Macaca mulatta: one gene and its partners. The protein of the gene in region 1 interacts with the protein of each later gene in a biochemical or structural test. Links are inferred from orthologs where the notes say so. Each region holds a gene or a part of one and is shown in the gene's direction. Other genes may lie near its edges. The genes, in order: STX3, SNAP25 and SNAP23.

The links.
Region 2: the proteins of STX3 (region 1) and SNAP25 form a complex in vitro, tested with the Homo sapiens proteins (2 studies listed by BioGRID). The link is inferred for Macaca mulatta from reciprocal best matches to the Homo sapiens genes STX3 and SNAP25.
Region 3: the proteins of STX3 (region 1) and SNAP23 form a complex in vitro, tested with the Homo sapiens proteins (3 studies listed by BioGRID). The link is inferred for Macaca mulatta from reciprocal best matches to the Homo sapiens genes STX3 and SNAP23.

Annotation. Positions count from the first base shown.
Region 1 is NC_133419.1:14,093,502-14,101,430, reverse strand, and holds part of STX3 (syntaxin-3), read left to right. Parts: intron 1-3,039; coding exon 3,040-3,139; intron 3,140-4,875; coding exon 4,876-4,950; intron 4,951-6,527; coding exon 6,528-6,595; intron 6,596-7,929. UniProt on the Homo sapiens protein: Potentially involved in docking of synaptic vesicles at presynaptic active zones. Apical receptor involved in membrane fusion of apical vesicles.
Region 2 is NC_133415.1:73,751,558-73,759,486, reverse strand, and holds part of SNAP25 (synaptosomal-associated protein 25), read left to right. Parts: intron 1-1,959; 5' UTR 1,960-2,022; coding exon 2,023-2,094; intron 2,095-4,213; coding exon 4,214-4,255; intron 4,256-7,929.
Region 3 is NC_133412.1:19,916,699-19,924,627, forward strand, and holds part of SNAP23 (synaptosomal-associated protein 23), read left to right. Parts: intron 1-180; exon of another isoform or gene 181-297; intron 298-1,860; 5' UTR 1,861-1,874; coding exon 1,875-1,931; intron 1,932-3,324; coding exon 3,325-3,366; intron 3,367-3,778; coding exon 3,779-3,827; intron 3,828-5,061; coding exon 5,062-5,179; intron 5,180-7,929. UniProt on the Homo sapiens protein: Essential component of the high affinity receptor for the general membrane fusion machinery and an important regulator of transport vesicle docking and fusion.

The DNA of each region.
Region 1 (7,929 bases):
CAGCAGGCAAAAAGAGAGCTTGTGCAAGGGAACTCCTGTTTTTAAAACCATCAGATCTTCTGAGACTTATTCACTATCATGAGAACAGCATGGGGAAGACCCACTCCCATGATTCAGTTGTCTCCCAGTGGGTCCCTCCCATAACACATGGGAATTATGGGAGCTACAAGATGAAATTTGGGTCGGGACACAGAGCCAAACCGTATCAGTGAGTGTTCAGAGGTTGTAACAGTGGCCCTTTTTATAGCTGGGTAGTGCTAGAATGCTTCTAAACAGTATAGATAGTTTAAAAAAAATTAACTCTTTGATCTAATGGAAAAAAGCATCCCAGTTGGAGTGTGGCGGGCACTATTTGCATGCTGTCCCTACCACAAGCTATGTGACCTATGATTTCTTTAAACTTGTTTCCTCATTTGAATAATGGTACCGATCCAGTCTTATAGGTTGTTTTGCAAACTGTTAAAATGCTTCACAAATATTTGGGTAGTTACCTGTATGTATATTTACACTCCCATGATATTATTACATTGTAATTTTATTCTACATCTTTCAGCAAGCAACTCTACTCTCAAACTGTGGCACATCTAAACCAATATATTTATAGAGGGGAAAAGCGTGTACTCCAGTGGCAAAAGTACTGATTTGAGGGCTGGAGAGCTCAAGTGTTTTTTTTCCTATTTTCTTTCTCTCTTTTTTCTTTTCTCTCCTTTTTTTTTTATTTTTTATTCTTTTGAGACAGAGTCTCACTCTGTTGCTCAAGCGGGAAATGCAGTGGCATGATCATGGCTCACTGTGGCCTCAACCTCCCAGGCTCAAGGGATCATCCATTTTAGCCCCCTGAGTAGCTGGGACTACAGGGGCGTGCCACAATGCGTGGCTGAGTTTTGTGTTTTTTGTAGCGACGGGGTTTTGCCATGTTACCCAGTCTGATCTTGAACTCCTGGGTTCAAGTAATCTGCCTGCCTTGGCCTCTCAAAGTGCTGGGATTACAGGTGTGAGCCGTTGTGCCTGGCCTCTCCTATTTTCTTTTCTTTTTTTTTTTTGAGACAGAGTCTCGCTTGGTCGCCCAGGCTGGAGTGCAGTGGCCGGATCTCAGCTCACTGCAAGCTCCGCCTCCAGGGTTTACGCCATTCTCCTGCCTCAGCCTCCCGAGTAGCTGGGACGACAGGCGCCCGCCACCTCGCCCGGCTAGTTTTTTGTATTTTTTAGTGGAGACGGGGTTTCACCGTGTTAGCCAGGATGGTCTTGATCTCCTGACCTCGTGATCCACCGTCTCGGCCTCCCAAAGTGCTGGGATTACAGGCTTGAGCCACTGCGCCCGGCCTCCTATTTTCTATTGAATATGAAGAGCTATAATCAAGTTTTGAAAAAGATGAAGTATCCACGGGAAAAGAGGGATGCTGGAAGCTGCATATGCATTGAGTTTTATTTTTGTTGCATCTCAGATGTTAGGATCCTACTGTATGACATTTTACAAGATTTCTGTTTGTTAATTGTTGCAATGTTGATGTGCCCTTCACTTTGAGAGTGAAGCGGATAGACCCTGCAGGTGTTGAGGTTTCTCCTTCCTGTCCTGCTCCCTGTATATAGGCTTCCACCGCAGCAGGGCTATGGAAACAGCGGCATGGGGAGCTATGAAGGGGGATCTGAGACTGCAGTCAAAGCTCATGTAGGAATGTCTGGCAGTGGCGTTCTACCTGGGAATGAAGTGCTGCTGGAAATATTTTATGATACCCACAGCCTTGTACAATCAGGAACCTTAGAAATATGCAGAAATGGGCTGTGGCTTGAGCTACTGGGTCCTGATTGTCTGAGGAAATCAGTTAGTACAAGAACATATGTCCTAGAGAAGCTCAGGCTGTCTCATGAGACCTTCATTGCCTATTATCTCTCTCTTTTTTTCTCTCCTTGTCTTCTTTGTCTGTTTCTGTCTTTTTCTTTAATTTTTGTTTTTTTTTTTGAGACGGAGTCTTGCTCTGTCGCCCAGGCTGGAGTGCAGTGGCGCGAACTTGGCTCACTGCAAGCTCCACCTCCTGAGTTCACGCCATTCTCCTGCCTCAGCCTCCTGAGTAGCTGGGACTACAGGCGCCCGCCACCACGCCCGGCTAATTTTTATTTATTTATTTTTTGTTTTTTTGAGACGGAGTCTCGCTCTGTCGCCCAGGCTGGAGTGCTGTGGCCGGATCTCAGCTCACTGCAAGCTCCGCCTCCCGGGTTCCCGCCATTCTCCTGCCTCAGCCTCCCGAGTAGCTGGGACTACAGGCGCCCGCCACCTCGCCCGGCTAGTTTTTTGTATTTTTTAGTAGAGACGGGGTTTCACCGTGTTAGCCAGGATGGTCTTGATCTCCTGACCTTGTGATCCGCCCATCTCGGCCTCCCAAAGTGCTGGGATTACAGGCTTGAGCCACCGCGCCCGGCCACCCGGCTAATTTTTTGTATTTTTAGTAGAGATGGGGTTTCATCGTGTGAGCCGGGATGGTCTCGATCTCCTGACCTCGTGATCCGCCGCCTTGGCCTCCCAAAGTGCTGGGATTACAGGCTTGAGCCACCGCGCCTGGCCTGTTTCTGTCTTTCTCTTCCTCTCATTCTGTGTTTTTCACTGTCTAGGTTTGTTCTTTTCGTTTCACTTCTTTCCTTCCTTCCTTCCTTTTCCCCCTCTCCTTCATCCTCACTCTTTTCTGTTCTCACTTTTCGGGCTTTAAGGCTCTGCCTGCTAAGGTCTGCTGATTCTCCCCCTCTGATCATTCCTCATGGTTTTTCCCAGCTCTTCTTGACTTTGGCCTGAATCCTTCCATCCAAAGTGGGTAAATGTATTACTCTCAGGGAGCAACAAGTATGGATTTTTAACAACTGTTCTGTTGAGATGACTTTAACCATGGAAAGGGTACTCACTGGGCAGCTGAAGACTTTAAGTCATTATCTTCTTCCACGAACCCAGAAGATGGGCAGCTTTCACCAGCAGCTCTGCCAAGCGTTTATCTCAGCCATGGACCTGTACTTCCTCTTTGATGATGGAAGTTATTGTCTTTCTGATTATAGATTGAGGAAACTCGGCTTAACATTGACAAGATCTCAGAACATGTGGAGGAGGCTAAGAAACTCTACAGTATCATTCTCTCTGCACCGATTCCAGAGCCAAGTGAGTGGTTACTTAGAACTGAGTCACCCAATAATCAGCCTTTCCTCGGGGCTGAGCCAGCCTTGTTTTCTTGCCCTTCGTGAGCAGCAGGGAAGTGTACAAGTTACAGGGCACTAGTGTACATATTATCTCATTTCCCTCTCCTTTACCTTACCTGTGCTCCTACTGCCTGGCCACAGTCACGGTTTTCTCTTCATGGTCCCACTCCAACCATTTAGCCAGACTTTCCTGTTTCCCAGCTAGTCCCTCTTCCTGACTAGCGACGATTCCCACTGCTGCTTACATACCCTGGGCCTGGTCCCTCCTCTGAGCCTCTGCTTGTACTGTTTCCCCAGCCTGAAATGCTTTTCCTAGCCCTCTTTCCGAATCCTACCAGACCAAGTTCATTTTTTTTTCCATGAGGTGTTCCAAAATGGTTCAAGTTCACAGAAATTCCTTCTATCCCTAAACTCCTGTTTGTTGCCACCACCTCGGCAAACTTTTTTCCTCCCCTAATTGTTTGCACGGGTGTCCAACCTTTTTTCTTCCCTGGGCCACATTGGAAGAAGAATTGTCTTGGGGCCATACATAAAATACACTAACACTAATGATAGCCGATGAGCTAAAAGAAAGGTTTGCACATAATTTTCCTGATATCTGCCACCACAGAGAAGCAAAAAAATCTGTGCATTCCACGGTTTGGACACGGGTGGTTTAGGGCTATATTTTCAGTTCCTTAAGAACAGGGAGCAAGCCTGACACTGTCATTCCTCTCTTTCATTTTTCCCATGGGCCCTATTACCTAAAGACTGAAGTGGGAACACTTTAGCAGAGCGTATGGACATTGTCTTGATCACATTCCTGCCTTCCCAGCCAGCCTGCCTCCTGCCATCCTCCTCCTGCTCCCCACGCTTCAGCCAGACCAATTCTGGTGGTTCCTCAGATATTTCCTGTTCACTCATACCCTTTACTTACTGTTTCTTCTCGTGGGATTCCTGCTCTTAGTCTCTTTCTCTACCTGGCCAACTCACAGTCCTTGAGACTCAGTCCTGCTCATCTCCGTCTTTAGAAGCTTTTCCAGATCCCTCCAGGCTGTGCACACCTTGACCAGAACTCATACCTTACTCCACGCTGCATATTACAGCTGCTGGTTTATTTCTCTCTTGTCTCCCACTAGACTTTAAACATCTTGCAGGAAAAACCTAGATCTTCTTTCTGATTCCATAGTTTCTAGCTCTGTTCCAAAGTTGTAGTAGGGGGTTGAAGGATGGCTTTTGAATGAATGGTTATAGCTAATACTTAGTTTGCTCCATACAACCTAGGATGTGTGTAATAGGTATGTCATAAATATTTGCCTCATTTTAAGTTGATTAGCCTTGGTTGAAATCTCTTTTCCCCATAAGCTCCCTAGAACCTTCTCAACCGAAGACCCCATGGTAGGCTCTTTCCTCTAAAAGCAGAGTTCTCATAATTTTATGTGCTGCAGGATTACTTGGGAGGGTTGAAAGGGCTGATTTTGCGGTTCCAACCTGGGTGTTTTTATTCTGTAGACTGGGATGGGGTGCCTGGAAAATGCCTTTAAAAAAATAAGCACTCTGTGATTCTAATGATAGATTCTGGGGAGTGCGCTGGGATAAATACCATTCTGGGCAGTGGATGCCTGAGAAAGCCACCCTGCTCTGATGATGATTGCTGTAGCTCACAAAGGAATCAGTCCTCTCCTTTCTAACGGATTCTGCCTGCCTTTGTTTACCCAGAAACCAAGGATGACCTAGAGCAGCTCACGACTGAGATTAAGAAAAGGGCCAACAACGTCCGGAACAAACTGAAGAGTAAGAAGGGAATGAAGGAAACAAGCCAGTCCCCACCACCATCTATCTCAGCTCCCCTAGGGTCCAGCTTTCCGAACTGAAACTCTTCTTGGTGGAACTGACACCACTTGGACCATCTTTGTTTGTGGTTCAGGCTCTGTCCCTGCAATGATCCATTGTAGCCCCAGAAATTTACCTTTTCTTAAATCCTGACAATACTGGAAAGAGTCCAGAATGCAAGCTAGGAGATGAGAATTAAAATGTGCTTTCAGCTGCTGAGTAGTTGTGTGACTTGGTCCTTTAACTTAGTCTTTCAACTTTTCTTTTTTTTTTTTTTTTTTGAGATGGAGTCTCACTCTGTTGCCCAGGCTGGAGTGCAGTGGCACTATCTTGGCTCATTGCAACCTCCACCTCCTGGGTTCAAGTGATTCTCCTGCCTCAGCCTCCTGAGTAACTGGGACGCACCTGGCCCATCAACTTTTCTCTTATTAGTCTTATTTCCCTGGCAACTACATACTTTTTTTTTTTTTTTAAGACAGAGTCTTCCTCTGTTGCCCAGGCCAGAAGGCAGTGGCTCAGTTTCGGCTCACTGCAATCTCTGCCTATTGGGTTCAAGTGATTTTCATCCGTCAGCCTCCCAAGTGGCTGGGATTACAAGCATGCACCACCTCACCCAGCTAATTTTTATAGTTTTAGTAGAGACAGCATTTCACCATGTTGCCCAGGTTGGTCTCGGACTTCTGGCCTCAAGTGATCCACCTGCCTCGGCTTCCCAAATTGCTGGGATTCCAAGTGTGGGCCACAATGCCCAGCCACCTACATACATTTGAATAGTCGTTTTAGAGACATATAGATGCAAGAGATACCGTTCTGTCTACAGATATTTCTTGGTGGGCTAGGCATACCACCTTCCTATACCCCCACTCCCCCCATTTGGGAGAGTATAGTTCATTGAAGCTACTGTCATAGATTCAATTCTTCCAGAGTCTAGAAGGTTTACTTAGTTCTGTTGCTAGAGCCTGCATTCTTGCCCAGTGTATTTGGTGCATGCATGCTATTGATCAGAAGAGAAAACATTATTGCTCAGCCCAATTTGCCATTTCTTCCCCCCAAGTATATTGCAATAACTATGTTAACTGGAGGGGTCATTAGTAGCAGATTCCAGTAATAACAGTGATAGTGCACCTGCCATTGTGATAGGTACTTTATGTGTCTTCTCATTTAATCTTCATATTAGTATTGTGAGGGAGGGACTGTTAGTTATTCTGTTTTACAGATGAGAGAACAGGTCCATTTAAGAGAGGTTAAGTGGCTTTTTCAAAGTCACACCCAGTAAGTGCCAGGGCAAGGATTCAAGCTTAAGTCTCATGGTGACCAAAACCCAAGCTGTTAACTGTTATGCCAAAACCTGGTCATTGTAAAGGCTGTGGAATGCATGTCCTGTGGCTCACCTGGGAGCTGACCTTTTGAGGTGCCACCTACCTGTTGTTACATCTCCATGGGCTGGGTGTGTGGGAATGAGTGAGGAAGTTTCACTGAACAGCATGTTTCTTGGAGGAGGAGATAGGTTGCAAGTATAACCTTCCTCTTCTCTTTAGGCATGGAGAAGCATATTGAAGAAGATGAGGTCAGGTCATCGGCAGACCTTCGGATTCGGAAATCCCAGGTAAGACTTTTCCTGGTCTCACGGTTATCTAGTCCAATTTCTTAATATTTTTCCTTAGCTGTGGAGGGATTTTTTTTTTTTTAATACAATCCTTATCTGAAACTCAATTTGAAGAGCTGATAAAGGAGAACTCTCCAGGTAGAAATAGGGGTCAGGGCCAGAGTCCAGCCCTTTTGGCCCCTGTCTTGTACTCTGCTTCTCTAAGGAGGCCCCTGAAGAGCTTCTTCAGGCTTCCTAGAGCACAGCTTAGGATTTAGTGCGCCTCCTTGTTTTGCAGGAGAGGAAATTAATGTCTTCTAAACAATTGTTAGTCATTGGTTGTCCAGTTTGGAGCCAGGCACTTTAGGGGTCATCAAAGATATGATCCTTGTCCTTAAAGAACTGGCATGCCATTGAAGTGGCATGGAAAGCTATTACCTAAGACCCAGCAGGAGGACGGGATAAGAAGACACATACATGGTGCTGTCAGCATCAAAAGATCTCAGGAAGAATTGGGGGTAGCCAGCTGGGCCGGAGTGCCAACATGAACAGGCTCAAGAAGCAGTTTTCCCTCTCTGAGAGGCACAGGGGCAGGAGTGGGGCGTGCATGTGTGTGTGCGTTGGCAGCAGTGGTTGGTAGTGGTAAGGGGTAGACGTAAGGGGCAGACGTGAAGACAATAGGCTTTCTGGAGAAAAAAGTTTGCTGTGGGATAGCGGACACATAATAACGTAGTATCACATTCTAGAGGTCTTTGAGGACCATTCTAGGGAATTTGGATCTGATGTTGTAACTTCAGGCAGCAATGTATTAGGAGGATTATTATGGTAGCCATTTGAAAGCTGTTTACAAGTGGGAAAGAAGCTGGAGACCGGAAGGTCCCTAGTTAGGGACCCTAGTTAGGTTTTTGCAAGGGTTTTGGTCTAAATTTGCATGGTGGTAGCGGGTTTGGAAAAAGTATACATATTGGCGATTTTCCAAAGGAGAAACCAGTAAGTAGGGCTTGATGCTGAGAGGTGAGCAAGGAATAAAAATTATTAGGAAGATTTAACTTAGGCATCCAGGGCTGTTGAGATAATGCATCTACTTATAAGCAAGAAAAGTTGGGGAAATGAGTTTAGGGTAAGAACTCAAGGATCTTTGGTAAGTATGACATGTGGGAAGGGAATCTGACAGTTTTAGAATGCAGGCCAGGTGTTGTGCCAGAAAAATGCTACTAGTCCATGTGGATGTAGGGCTCAGAGATTTAGACATGACCTCTGGCCTTACAGTTACCGCGTGAGGTCAGCAGTAAACCAGTTTCAGTAAACTTCCAAGTCCAGTGCTACTGTAGATGGCTGTGTGGGGGTGGGGAGGG
Region 2 (7,929 bases), on another chromosome or scaffold:
GAGTCACTTTCCTCCATGCAGGGATATGGAGGACCCAAGTTCTTTCTGTCTCATGGTCTCATGGCTTAGCCATCCTTTAAGACTCTGTTTTTCTGGCAGAAGGAGAAAGAGAGGGAGGAGAATACCTGCTTCTGAACTGCCTTAGACTGACAGGGACACACATTGTTCTACTACCACTCATGGACTGTCTCTAGCCACAAAACACCACTTCTTGCAATGGGAACTAGAAATGTAATTCCTGGCTGCACAGCCATTTCCCAGAGATCACGCTCTACCATGCAACAGTGAGGATAAAGCGCACAGTTGACCATCTCAGCTGCAAGACAAGAGCCCATGCCTTCTTCAAATGTGCTACTCACAGAGAGTTTTTCACCCTGTCAAATACCTACCCCACCAGGCCCTTTACCCCATTCCCTTCAATGGCCTGGGGACATGACTTCCTCAGAGAGGCCTGTTGCAAACCCATGGGCACCCATGACACCAGACATGACCCCTAATGTAATTATAATCACCCTGAATCATCTAATTCCCTCTTTTGCTTGCATCTTCCCAATTAGACTGAATTCTGTAAAGGCAGGGAATTTGGCTATCTTGTCCATAACTGTATCTCTAGTACCTAACACTGCCTGGCATATTACAGGTGCTCAATAAATATTGGAGAAGGAAGGAGGAAGGAGGGCTCTCTCTGGAATGGACTCAGTCCTGGTACCCGTCATTTGTACCATGTGGGATTTCAAGAGAGTAGCCAAGAAATGGACTGGTCACCTTTCAGGGCCAAGGACCCATCCTCTTTGGAGTGATAGCAGCTCACCCTCACACAAGCCCTTTTGGCAACCTCTGATGACAACTGAAATAGAGGAAAGATTTTCTGCCTTTGGCTTCCACATGCTTCTAAATACAATGGAATACTGTTCAACAACAAAAATGGAATGAACTATTAATACATGCTGCCAAATAGATAAATCTCAAAATAATTATGCTAAGTGAAAGAAGGCAGACAAAAAGCAGTACCTACTAAGTGATTTTTATTTATATAAAATTGTAGGAAATGCAAACTAATGTATAGTGACAGAAAGTAGATCAGGCTGGGCGTGATGGCTCACGCCTGTAATCCCAGCACTTTGGGAGGCCAAGGCGGGTGGATCTCGAAGTCAGGAGATCGAGACCATATTGACTAACACGTGAAACCCCAGTCTCTACTAAAAATACAAAGAATTAGCCGGGCATGGTGGCGGGCGCCTGTAGACCCGGCTACTCGGGAGGCTGAGGCAGGAGAATGACGTGAACCCGGGAGGCAGAGCTTGCAGTGAGCCGAGATCGCGACACTGCACTCCAGCCTGGGTGACAGAGCGAGACTCCGTCTCAAAAACAAAACAAAACCAACAAACAAACAAAAAGAAAAGAAAAAGAAAGAAAAGAAAGTAGATCAGCAGTTTTCTGGGCATAGACATGTGGGATAGGGCAGGGACCACTGGGTGGGTAGGAAATTTGGGGGAATAATGGCTAAGTTCATTGTTTTGATTGCAGTCATGGTTTTCTGGGCGTATACATATGTCAAAACTTCTCAAGTTGTCCACTTCACATATGTGGGGTGTCCTGTATATCTGTTATACCTTAATAGAGCTATTTAAATAAATAAATAAATGTGACGATAAAAGTGCACTAACCCCAAACCACACCCCTCCAACCTCATCATTCCCAACCCTTGGGTAGTTTGTCTCTTTAGAAATATTTCATAGGTAGATAGGTGTCTACCTCCATGGTAGAATTGGCAAGTATGTATTTGTGGCACCTTTCGGAGAAATAGCACAATTCTCTTGACCCCTGTCTGAGCATGGCTTTCAGATCAGAAAACTGAGTCATGTGGACTGAATATGGGCCATGTAGATTTTCTGGTCTTTGCACACACCTACATGAACATATATAAGCTCTCATATTTTCAAATCTACTTCTTTCCAGGTCCAGAGCCAAACCCATCACTGACCCCCCAGCCCAGGCGCCCAGCCACTCCCCACCGCTACCATGGCCGAAGACGCAGACATGCGCAATGAGCTGGAGGAGATGCAGCGAAGGGCTGACCAGTTGGCTGATGAGGTAAGGAGTGGAGACCTAGGAAGGGAGGCAAAAGATGAAGGCCTGAGTGGTTTGTCTTTTTCAGGTTTAGGTAAGGAAAGGCTTTCTTTCAATGTCTCAATTTTAGAAAAAGTAGTATGACTTTGATTTTCTATACAGCTAAGCCTTCTGCAGCCCAGAATGAGTTGATTACAAAACCTGTATACAAATTAATGCCTTGGCCGTAACTCTCAATTTCTAGAAATCTTGAGAAGTCAAGGTTCTCTAAGAAAAGAAAGCAATGTCTTTGGGTGCCTTACATTCAGTGCTATGCTGGAGAAGGTTCAGTTCTAAGAACAGATTGTTAACATTTTCAGGAACTTTGCAAGCTGGTTGCTAAATGCAGCCATTATTAAAATTGAATCATATAAACTGACAATTAGATAGATTATATTAAAATCAAAAGTAATAAACACTCAAACCTCATCACTTCCTAATTATTTTGCCACATTTTACTATTATCCAGGATCTTGAGATCCATCCATTGTATCTGTAGGGTGGAAATAAGGTGTAATAATGTGTCACCATGTATCTTTCCAACTTCATGATCAGTAATATGAAGTTGTAGCTTAAAATCAGGCAGAGCTGAGTACAGTGGCTCGCACTTGTGATCTCAGCTGCTTGGGAGGCTGAGGCAGGAGGATCGCATAGGCCAAGAGTTCATGACCAGCCTGAGCAACATAGAGAGACTCCTACCTCTAAAAATATTTGAAAATTTAAAAATCAGACAGAGTAAAAGTATTTATAACCCAAGAATCTGCAAATACTGCAGATCAGGACTTGACTTATTGTTTCGCTGATTGCCTAGACTTTAAAAAGTGGAGAAAATATTAATAATGCAGATTAAAGTTAGAAATATGTATGTCTGCAGCCATTATACTATGAATAACACAAAAAGAGGAAATCTTCCAGTATTTGAAAGTTATGATTCTCTAAGGCAAAGAAATCCCTTTTGTCATTCACAAATGAAGAAATTTCCAACACATGTCTTCATTGTTTCATTTTCTTCTTACTCATTAACATAAATGAAAATATCCAACCAACATTCATGTCAGAACTACTCTGGTTCATCACATGGTTAGCTATAGATACAAGAGTTCAGCAAAAATCAGTAAAAGCTTTCTGTGAGAATCAATTGGCTATGCGGAATTTACAATAAAGAGAGTATCGTATATTTTATTATTATTTATAAATGTTGTGCTATTCATCCTTTACATCAGTAAAATAATAACCTTGAATACATGTATGTGTTCGTATATTTTTCCCAGAGAGCCAGTAGTTAAACCTTTACCAGCAGACTGCTGCTTGCAGCCATTCTGTTTCAAAAAGCAGCCAGCTGACAGGTCTTCCAGGGAAGTTAACATCCTTCAGGTTCCTGCAGAATCTTGTTCAAAATAAGTTTGTCACTTAAAAGCAAAGCTTTGAGAAATCATACTGGTTGTTGGATTCTAGTCGTTTCAAAAGAACTGAGGAAAAAAATGACAACGCCGTGCCTGGGGGACTGTTGCAGAGCTCAGACTTTCCATCTCATTTTTTCTTATCTAAGGATGAAGATAATTATTATAGCTGTCTCCTATAGGCTAGTCATTTCAAACATGCTTGATTTTTTTCACCCTAAGGCAACAACTTAATTTGTATTGATAAGAACTTCCAATTGTGTTTCTAGGAGCTTTGTAAGAAACTTGATGTTATATTCATCTCGATTCATGAAAAATTATGCTCGTGTTTAAAATTTAATATTCCTGGCCCAGGGAGGCCAAATTAATCCTCTGAGTATTTGAGATAATTTTTCATGCATTCTGAGCATGCAAAATTATCTTCTCCAGATTACTTTGTCTTTGATATCAAGATCAGCTTCATATGGTTTTGATTTTATGAATATAAGCTTTAATGTAATTGCTTTAGGGAATCTGATCATGTAAAAAGCCTGATAGGAAAGAGTTTGAAAACGTAATGACATTTTGTGTTTCACTTGCCAACTGAAAAGAATATGTGATAGAGACCCTTTGTGATTCTCAAGTAAATACAGTATTTCTGACTTTCCAAGACCTCTGGATCCTGCACTCATAAAGCTTGTGTTTGTTTGTTTTTTTAATCTTAGTCGCTGGAAAGCACCCGTCGTATGCTGCAACTGGTTGAAGAGGTAAGAAGTGACAGTATTTTAAGGTAAAGAAACAAATCCTTTATGCTGATATATCCTCTCCTAGTTGCTATTATGTTTCCTTAGTCCATGATCCCATAGATTCCAGTGTGAATGTAGCCTATCAGAAAGGCTCAGAATGAGGGAGATGCTGTATTTAAGTTGCCAGATAGCCATGAAGGCAACATCACCCTCCTTCCCAGCCCAAGCTACCTCTGTAGTCTGGGAAGCAGAGAAGAATAGAATTTCCAAGTCAGTGCTCTCAAGAAATCACAAAAGATTGTATCACTTTAAGCAAATCAGAGCAATTTTTAATATACAAAGGAATTATCTACATGAAATATTATTTGTAATTATTTTGGTGCCTATAAATTACATTTAATCTTGAGATTCTGTTCTAACTTTAGCCACATATATGACTTTTAAAAATATGTAATGCATATAGGTATATCATTTTAAGAAATTGTTCTATTTAAAGTTAAGCACTAAAATTTACGAAAAAAATAGGAAAGGCCTTTAAGAAAGGGAAATATCAAGTCCAATATTATAAATACAGAAGCTTTTCTATATTCCTGTCTGGATTAAGCATCCATTTGCGAGGCAGGATTAATGAATCCCAAACTATTTTTAAATGGGTAAAATGGGGCAGACAGTAATAATGGAATCAAAAGGGCACTTGGAATCATAAACCTCACTCATTCCAATTTGGTAGTACAGCAGTCGGCCAGCAGAATAAATGGATTAATTGAACTTGCCCGAAGGGAGAGATGAAGTGGAAAAAGAATGGGTTGGACTATATTTATCTTAACCTAATAAAACAAGCCTAATAGTTTTTATTCAGTGAGATGCTGTTTTAGCTGTGCTCTGAAACTGCTTATCAGTGTATAGATTCATGTGTGATTATCATTTTTAGAGATCTTGGGCTTTCTCTGGCAGAATGATTAAATGAGCCTACTCCCCTCATGCAACAACATGAAAGGGAAGAAAAGATAAATTTTACAAAGGGTAAAAGGAAAGGCAGCCGCCTCTCACACTCTAGGAGGCAATGTCTTCCTTCTCTTATTTCTGTGGCTTCAGCTTCTCACCTAGGAATGAGATATGGCTAAATGTGAATTGCCACTGGAGGAGTGGGAAGGAGGTGGCAAGCATGCACTCCCTAGGAAGCCGGGGAAGTGGGTGGGGCGGGGGTTGAGAGAGTAGGGCGTACATAACAAAATCTGTTATCCCCCAAAATGATAATTCAAGCCTGCAATGTGGCACAAATGGGCCACACGGGAAGGCAGCCCTAGCAAAGCAAGCCCTCAGCACAAGGAAGCAGCATTCTGTCTAAGCGAACAGCAATGTTTTATCTGTACTGTCCTGGGAACGCTTCTGCTCATGCAGAAATACTTGATGAAGAAGGAGGTAGATATTCTAAATCTAGGAGTGCAGGCAAGGCTCTTAGCATGGACTTACTCTCTCTCGAGTTTTCAGGCGGAAAAAAATGAAAGAAGCCCATCTTAGTGATATGCCTACATGAGCTCTGATGTTAACCTGAAGGGAGCCCAGAAGTCAACCGAGATATTTATTTGATTGTATATTATTACATTATCATAATACATCCTTATGACTTTCAACCATAGCCTCCGATCTCATTTTTCTTTTTTTGCTTACGTGTGTGCACATCTGATGTAAGTTTCTGAAATATCAGAACTATCACTAATTTGCCTGCCTGTGCAATGTTGAAATGCTGCCTAGACCGTGGAAAGGAGAAGAATAAATGAATCAGAATGCACACCTTGAACTGATCCCTTTCAAATCAAGAGTCTGAAACATGGTCACTTTTTCATGTATCTTCTTAAACTGCAAACCATGTTGGCCAGTCTTCAAAAATGAGTATCTGCTCTAATTTATTCTAGGGGAAAATCTCTCAAAAGCTTATTGGTTGAAGTAGGATTCTCGAATCGTATGTTTTTGTTTCTCCTAAAGCAGTTTTCAATCAAGCACGAAGCTACATCTTAGAACAAGGAGCAAAAGAGATGGAAGCTATCTCCTGCCTCTAATAAATGAGAGGAGGCTATTAGACTTTCCATGCTTAGGAAATTGTGAGCGAAGTGTTATTAGAGTAGATTGATTTGCTCTTACTTCCTCCTGGGCTATTTTATATTTGTGGTCAAACATCCTGATGTCTAGGACATTGGTTATTTAGATGATATTCTGCTTTTCAATCAAAAAGGGTGTTCTCTAAAGAGAATCTGTATTAAATATTCATCAAGGGCAGAAATCATTTGGAAAACCTGAGGATTGAAGTATCAGGATCTTACTCATGATCCCAAGGTTTGACAGTGCCATAAAATTTCAATTGAGCTGAATCCTTATTGAAATTCAGTCTCAAAGACAGGAAAGGTTACTAAACTTGTGAAGTCTCCCTAAGGCAAACAATCTCACTTCCAGTGGAATATACAACTTTACACCATCCTTAATACACTCCAGGGTGTAGCCGTGGTTAGGAGTGGGGCCTTGCTTTTTAATAGTCATCATTATCAGCATTTCAAGGGTAATGTAAAACTACACAGAGGTGAGTGGAGAAAGTTCAGAAAAAATGAATGCCATAGATAGGTAAAAAGGTTAGAAATCATGTAGCACTTTGTTCTCAGCCTGGAGTTAGGAACTTTCTTTTGGTGAATGCATTTCAACAAATATTCACAGAATGCCTAACTCTGGGGATAAGGAAGGAAGATGTAAATTGGTGTCTTGCTGGGAAACAGATATGTAAGTAGCTCTGCAAATTCAAGGCCATATTTGCCTTAGGTGCATAGGGGAGGGAACAACTGATTCTGGTAAGAGACTCATTAAAGTATCCTCAAGGAGGGAATATTTAATTCCAGGAAAAAAGTTAACTCTGCTAATGCTAACTGCAGGAAATGGAGTCTGCACATCAATGCCTTGGGCTATGTAAACTAAGCCCAGGAAAAGCCCCACAGCCTTAGGGCAGGTCAATTCAGAGGCACCACATAGCTTTCATGGAGTGGTTATTGCACAACTAATATTTCATGAATGTTTTAGCATCCTTCTTTTTATGCCAATTTATCTTTCAAGACACTTTGGCCATGCGAAGAGAATAAGCATTCTAAAGCGGTGTATGCCAGACTTCCCACTAAAAATGAAAAAAATCAGGTTGGGGGGTCCTTTTCAAACATGCAGATATGAGGTCTTTTGGAGAGAATGCCTGGAGTGTTCTAGTTTTAGTTCAAATGTTTTGGACTTAGGCGAAAGCATCTCAGAATGGCAAAAGAAAGATTTGAAACATTCTATAAAGATTGTCTTAGTTCATCTGGAAAATTTTTTTAAAAAATTAAAATAGATAAATAAAAGAGAAAAGAAAGAAATGGAAAAGAAAAAGTAATCCTTCATATCTCCAACTCCCCTGTTTTTAGGTAGGCGATTTTCCCAGCAATCTCAAACAGAAACTAAGAATTGAGCTAAGATAAAAATGGAACCAACTCCTCACACTCCTAGCTACTAAAACATAATACTATTTAAGGAATAAGAGAAAGTAATATTCTGCCTCCCTGAAATCATGTCTCTATCCCTGCCCATCTCCTTAAGCTTCTAGCTCCCCCCAAAAGCAACCTAGTTATTTTGATAGAAGCTGTCAGCAAAACAGCGGAGCCAAACGCAAGTTCTAACATGTACCA
Region 3 (7,929 bases), on another chromosome or scaffold:
CAGGATGTGGAAGTTGCAGTGTGTCAAGGTTGCACCACTGAACTCCAGCCTGGGCAATAGAGTGAGACTCCATCTCAAAAAAATAAAAAATAAAATGATAGTAGTGGTTCACCTAAAAACGACTGAAAAGATTATTATTATTATTATTTTATTTTTATTTTATTTATTTTTTTGAGATAGGGTCTTGCTCTGTCACCCAGGCTGGAGTGCAGTGCCATGATCATGACTTACTTCAGCCTCAACCTCCTGGACTCAAGCAATCTGCCCACCTCAGCCTCCCCAGTAGCTGGACTTCAGGTGCGCGCCACTATGCCCAGCTAATTTTTGTATTTTTGGTAGAGACGGGGTTTTGCCATGTTGCCCAGGCTGAACTACAACTCCTGAGATCAAGCCATCCACTCACCTCAGCCTCCCAAAGTGCTAGGATTCCAGTCATGAGGTACCACGCCCAGCCAAAAGTGACTGAAAAGATTTGTATGTGATCATATCATACACTTGGAATAGCAGTTTTTGGTTTGTGGCTCTAGTGATTCTTTGCAGGCTTTGTGCTACTGTTACATGCAGCTTTGTTTCTAAGAGCCACGTAAATACTTTGAGAGTACACCCTGTTTTTCTACTTATTTGTTCATTCCGCTATTTTCGGAGTATCTACTGTCAGATCCTATTAGGTGTTAGAGATACAAAGATAAAATCTCTGCCTTCCAAGAATTCAGTCCAGTACATTCTTGGGGGAATTAGGTTTTCTGCTTATCATAGGGTATATCCATGGCAAGGTTTCTCACCTCAAATTGACATTTTGGGTCAGATTATTCTTTGCTGGAGGGCTTTCCTGAAGAGTATTGTAGGATGTTAAACGGCTTCCCTGCCTCTACCTACTAGGTGCCAGTAACCAGCCCCATCATCTGGCCCAAGTTGTGACAATCAAGCATCTCCAGACATTGCCAGATTCCTGGGGGCAAATCTGTAATAAGAACCAGAGTTTATCTGTGTCATTGACTGTGAGCTTTGGTAAATGAGTTTTGAGAAAATTCATACAAAGCTAGCAAATGTAACAAAGAAAGAACCTAGATCCGTTGCACAATGCTTGTTATTACTCCACATGACTTCTCAAAGAGGAATTAGATAACAGCCGTGCTGAATAACACCTACAAAATGTTTTATTTTTTAGCTTGGATGTCTATGAGATCTCTTTCTGAGTTACTATGTGTAGGAGAATAATTGTTTGGTTTCTTAGGGACTCCACTAAAACAACAAACAATATAAGCCATTGGAGAGGAAGAGTCTAATGCATAATAAAAATCTTAGTCTTTTCTGAGCTGTTTGTACCAGCATTTCCCTTTTCTTGTTAAGAGCGAAAGTATTTTCTCCAGTGAGTACGCGGGACAACTGGCATATTTAGAAATGTCTCCTGTGTTCTTCAGGCATGTAACTTAAAATTTTGTTACTTTACTAAATTGGACTTTTCTTCACTTACTGCTTTTCCATGTTCAGACAACACGTGAAGAACATCGAACAACCAAAAATTCATTTTAATATAATAGTCTTTTAACGCTTGTCTTCCAGTAATGCCTTGGTTCTCAAAGTAAAGGATCCACTTTCCTGTTGGAAAGAGTACTTCCCTAGAAGTCCTAAAACCTGTATTTTAGGTTCACCCTTAGCACTCTTACTAAACATTCATTTAGCCTCTCTCGGTCTTGATTTCTTTACTTGTGGTAGACTAATAGATATAGAAAGAGGCTCTTTTATCCTGTTTTCCTGATAAGTTCCTAAATTCCATAAATCTACACTTTTTGCTCACACAAACTTTTATATATCCTTATTCTTATACAATATCCACATTTCCATTTCTGTGCCTAATAGAGTTTTGATTCATCATGGATAATCTGTCATCAGAAGAAATTCAACTGAGAGCTCACCAGATTACTGATGAGGTAAATGTTTTACCTAAAATAAGTAAATAATTCTATTTCAGTTTTCATATTGGAGGGGTGAGAGGGCCTTCTTAGGGACCATTTTGGCCTCTTCCTAGTCCATTAATATCAAAGAACACATTTGCCCCTTAGTGCCTTTGCTGGTTTTTATTTTCTTAAAGTGAAAACAATTTGTATGATTTTTATTTTTTAGGTACTTATTACTTAAGTGCAACAAAGATACTCTATTATGTATTTGAGAAATGCTAGACTTCTATTTAACAATTTCCTAATATCTGTAATTTACTTAGATTTCTACCTACATTAAATTTTTATGACTATAAAATTTTTATTCCCATGAACTTCACCATCCAAATATTCTCTCTTTTTTAAAAAAACTTTTCCTTTCAACATCACACTGGAAGTCCTTACACATTTTCTCTTAAGGAGCACTTGAAAATAACCGAAAATGTAGTGATCAACTTACTTTTTTTTTTTTTTTTTTGAGACAGAGTCTCACTCTATTGCCCAGGCTGCAGTGCAGTGATGTGATTTCGGCTCACTGCATCCTCTGCCTCCTGTGTTCATCAAGCGATTCTCCTGCCTCAGCTTCCTGGGTAGCTGGGATTACAGGCATGTGCCACCACGCCCAGCTAATTTTTGTAGTTTTAGTAGAGACGGGGTTTCACCATGTTGGGCATACTGGTCTCGAACTCCTGACCTCGTGATCCACCCACCTCAGCCTCCCAAAGTGCTGGGATTATAGGCATGAGCCACCACACCCGGCCATTGTTTTGTTTTGGTTTTTTTTGTTTGTTTGTTTGTTTTTGAGACGGAGTCTCGCTTCTGTCGCCCAGGCTGGAGTGCAGTGGCCTGATCTCAGCTCACTGCAAGCTCCGCCTCCCGGGTTCACGCCATTCTCCTGCCTCAGCCTCCCGAGTAGCTGGGACTACAGGCGCCCGCCACCTCGCCCGGCTAGTTTTTTGTAGTTTTAGTAGAGACGGGGTTTCACTGTGTTCACCAGGATGGTCTCGATCTCCTGACCTCGTGATCCACCCGTCTCGGCCTCCCAAAGTGCTGGGATTACAGGCTTGAGCCACCGCGCCCGGCCCATTGTTTTAAAGGAAGGGATAGGCTGGCAATTCTTTTTGTTTTTTCCTTTAATGGAGACAGTCTCTCCGTTGGGCTATGTTGCCTGGGCTGGTCTTGGACTCTGGTACTCAAGAAATCCCCCTGCCTCAGCCTCCCAAAGTGCTGGGATTGTAGGCATGAGCCACTGTGCCCAGCCTGAGCTGGCCATTTTTAAAGATAGAATAGCATCATGAATGTGGCCTGTGATCGGATGGTTTTTTTGTTTTGTTTTGTTTTGTTTTTTACATATTTTGGAATGCTAAAACTCTGTGTTTTTTCCTAGTCTCTGGAAAGTACGAGGAGAATCCTGGGTTTAGCCATTGAGGTAAGAAAATGTTAGTCACCAACTTAAGTATAAAAATTTATAGGAGATATCCTAATACTTCTGGCTGGAATTAGTGTTAAAGGGTAATGTATCAATATGCTTTATTATTTGAAATTAACAGTTGCTGAAATTGTCAAATTATGCACTAATGGGCCTTTTTTGTTTTTCCCTTTGACAGTATTGGAATATGACAGGGAAGATGAATTCACTATGAGTTTGTGACTTAATTATTTTGGGGGGCTACTATGTTAAAGTGTGTTTAAGAATACTAGTTCTGTCTGTAGCTCTAATCCTCTGAGAGCTTGGGTTTCTAAATTATTCTGTCTTGCTATTTGACAGCTCTTGTAGGTTTTGTTTCTGTTGTTTTTGGTTTGTTTTGTTTTACTATCAGCCTTTTTCCCACTTCTTTTAGTCTCAGGATGCAGGAATCAAGACCATCACTATGCTGGATGAACAAGGGGGTGAGTTAAATTATTAGCAGAAATTCTTAATTTGACCATGATGCCAAAAAGCCCTATCAGATTAGCCACATACAAATTTCAGCCTTTGGGAGGGCCTTCCCTTTGTAAAGTAAGAATAATATGTTTACTTCTTGTCTTCTGGTTTGAATAATGTCATGTTCACTGTCTATTTGGGATGGCAGGCAACAATGCCCAACTGTGTATATACCGAGTATGTGTTAGACCAGCATGGCTAACACATTAGACATTATGATAGTAATGTAGCTGGGATTACAGGTACCCACCACCACACCCAGCTAATTTTTTGTATTTTCAGTAGAGACAGGTTTCACTGTGTTGGCCAGGTTGATCTCAAAGTCTTGACCTCAAGTGATCCGTCCACCTTGGCCTCCCGAAGTGCTGGGATTATAAGCATGAGCCACCATGTCTGGGCAGACATTGTGATATTCTTACATCATCCTCAAATCAAGTTAAGTCCTAAAACAGATCTAGATTCAGGTGTGCTTGGAAGCACTTGAGTTGGCCCTGATTAATCAGGTCTAGTTTTTATTACTCCTATAACAGCCCTCAGGTTTTGAACCTCATAGAAATGATGGGGATTTGACCTGGTCAGAGTACCCTTAACTTGGTTGTAAGGATGATCTCTAAATAACCATCCCTTGGTCCTACTATACAAGATTCTTTTATTTTTTATTTTTATTTTATTTTATTTTATTTTGAGGGGAATCCCACTCTGTCATCTAGGCTGGAGTTCAGTGGTGCAATTGCATCTCACTGCAACCTCCAGCTGCCAGGTTCAAGTGATTCTCCTGCCTCAGCCTCCCAGGTAGCTGGGATTACAGGCACCCATCATCACACCCAGCTAATTTTTGTATTTTTAGTAGAGATGGGGTTTCATCATGTTGACCAGGCTGGTCTTGAACTCCTGACCTCAGGTGATCCGCCCACCTCGGCCTCCCAAAGTGCTGGGATCACAGGCATGAGCCACCATACCCAGCCATATACAAACTTCTTAGAACAAATTTTTCCACAGCAAGAGGCTAGGTGCCTCAGGATCAGTACGTGAAAGATTGTTATCATGTTGAATAGCTTCTAATACCTTTTGACACTGACTTATTCACTGTGGGGAGTTATTGGTAGATTCAAGGTTGAAGTTGACTGCTCCATAATAATAGCATTTTCTGGTTGACACTGTGAATGGAACACAAAATGTAACTTTACAACTTATTCTTAGAACAACTAAACCGCATAGAAGAAGGCTTGGACCAAATAAATAAAGATATGAGAGAGACAGAGAAGACCTTAACAGAACTCAACAAATGCTGTGGCCTTTGTGTCTGCCCATGTAATAGGTGAGTTGATAAATTAAGACGGTTTCAAAATAAATAAATGACAGTACCCCACCTTCTCCCGCCAGCTAAGGTCAGAAGTATGACTGGGTTTAATGAGGAACTCTATTAGATAAATCTAAGTTGTCTCTCCTTCAGGCAGATTAAGCTTTTTGTGTCAATACTGCTTGTTCACTGAAAACTATGACTTATAGTTGACCAATCCTGGGATCAAGTTCCAATTTCAATTTGTAGTGATACATGAAAAGGTTAAGAAGTATAGAGAAATGTATATCTGGATGATGGTGAGCAGGATGGAGTTATTTTCTTTTCCTTTCAAAAGGCAGAGTATTAACAAAATATTTATTTTGTGGTAGGCACATGAGGGATGGCCAAAAGAGTAGAAAAGTTGGGAAAGAAAGGCAAAACTTAAAAAATACATAAATCTGATGTTAGATTATATGATAGTGACCAAAGCTAGGTATACAGAACTGATAAAGGTTGGGTTGGAGAGCATCTTATAGAAGAGTTAGGATGTGGGTTGGGCTTTGAGTGATTAGAAGGATTTGGATGAACAGGGAGGAACAGTGAGGGCATTTCCTATGAAAGGTTCAAAATAAAGATTAACAAGGAGCTTGACTTAACTGAGCTGTGTGCTCATGTAGATGAGAAGTGGAAAGTAAGATATAACTAGGTAGTAGAGGAACTTGAATGCCAAACTAAAGAGTTGATAGATTGGAGTGGAGTGTAAAAAGAAATGACAGTATCTGGAGATTGAATGACTGTACTCACTGCTGAAAGGTTTTTTTTTTTTTCCCCCCTGAGACAGGGTCTCTGTTACTCAGGCTGGAATGCAGCGGTGTGATCACGGCTTACTTAAGCCTCTCTTTCCTGGGCACAAGAGATCCTCCCACCTCGGCCTCCCAAAGTGCTGGGATGCAGTGGCACAATCTTGGCTCACTGCAACCTCTGTCTCCCCGGTTAAAGTGATTCTCCTGCCTCAGCCTCTCAAGTAGCTGGGACTACAGGCGCCCACCACCACACTCAGCTAATTTTTGTATTTTTAGTTGAGACAGGGTTTCACCATGTTGGCCAGATGGTCTTGATCTCTTGACCTCATGATCCGCCCGCCTCAGCCTCCCCAGTTGCTGGGATTACAGGTGTGAGCCACCGCACCTGGCCTCAAAGTATTCATTTTTAAAGAGCTTCTTAGACATTAGTATTTCATCCAGTTCTCAGCTGGTCTTGTAAACCAACAGTGGTTATATTTTTATATTTTCAGATAAGTGTTTTATGTAACAGCATTTTTGTGCCATTTCTACTGGAGAAAGTAGAGATTAATTGCTTGTCAGTCAACTTTAGTGTTTGTTTTGGCCATGAGGAGTTAAGATTTGACAGTGTTCTTCCTAGTCTTATCCATTGACTTCCTGTTCTAACAAGTCTGTTGACCTGTTTACACCTTGGTTGACTAACGGAGAGTTTTTTTTTTTTTTTTTTTGAGACGGAGTCTTGCTCTGTCACCCAGGCTGGAGTACAGTGGTGTGATCTCAGCTCACTGCAACTTCCACCTTACAGGTTCAAGTGATTCTCCTGCCTCAGCCTCCCAAGTAGCTGGGATTACAAATATGTGCCACCACACCCGGCTAATTTTTATATTTTTAGTAGAGACAGGCTTTCACCATGTCGGCCAGGCTGGTCTCAAACTCCTAACCTCAGGTGATCTGCCCACCTCTGCCTCCCAAAGTGCTGGGATTACAGGCGTGAGCCACTGCTCCCAGCTGAAAGTTCATATTTTAATAACTATAACTTGTCAATCAGCAGATTACTTTAAGCAAACAAGTTAAAATGTACAGATTGTTTGATACAAACTCTTAGCTATGTTTTACAAAAATAATTGTACCTTTCTTTTGTGTTCCATCTACCTTCTTGGAAGAGTACAGAAGAGAGGAAGTAGATGAATTTTCTTGAGATCAGATGTTAGGAGAACAAGGAAAAAGAAGTCTTCTCTAAAATCTTAGAGCAAGATCAACTCTAAGTCACGTGTTGATAAACAGGAAGAGCATTGAATTAGACCTAAGATGGTCTAATATCATAGAAAGTGGGAAATGTAGCTACAGAATATTAATTTTATGTCTCTTTGTGTATCCCAGCCGAGCATAGGCAAGCTTTTCTTGAAGACTGGTAGGAAACAAGGTAGAGTATGGTCCTGAATCAGCGTTCTTCAGCCTCTAACCTTAGTAGAACCCTTTCTCAGTGGATCAAGAGAAGGCACTACTTTTTTAGAGATGGCATCTGCCTCTGTCTCCTGGGCTTGAGTGCAGTGGCACCACGATAGCTCAGTGTAGCTTCAAACATCTGGGCTCAAGCGATTCACCCACCTCAGCCTACCAAGTAGCTAGGATTACAGGTGTGTGCCACCATGCCCAGCTAATTGTTTAAATTTTTTGTAGATACGGGGGTCTTGCTATGTTGCCCAGGCTTGTATCAAACTCCTGGCCTCAAGAAATCCTCAACCTCCCAAAGCACTGGGATTGCAGGCTTGAGCCACTGAACCCAACTGGCACTTCTTTCTTTTCTTTTTTCTGGTACTTCTTGAGAGATGGAATCAAGGGACTGCTGTAACAAAACAGTTCCCTGAAGAGAAGAAAGTATTATCTCAGTTAAAGATGTCTGATTATAATTACCTTTCTTCCACCTATTTCTTTCTTATACCATTGAGACCTTGGCCAGTATGATATCTCTCATCCTCAGCTCTTCCTATCATTCTTGCCTGT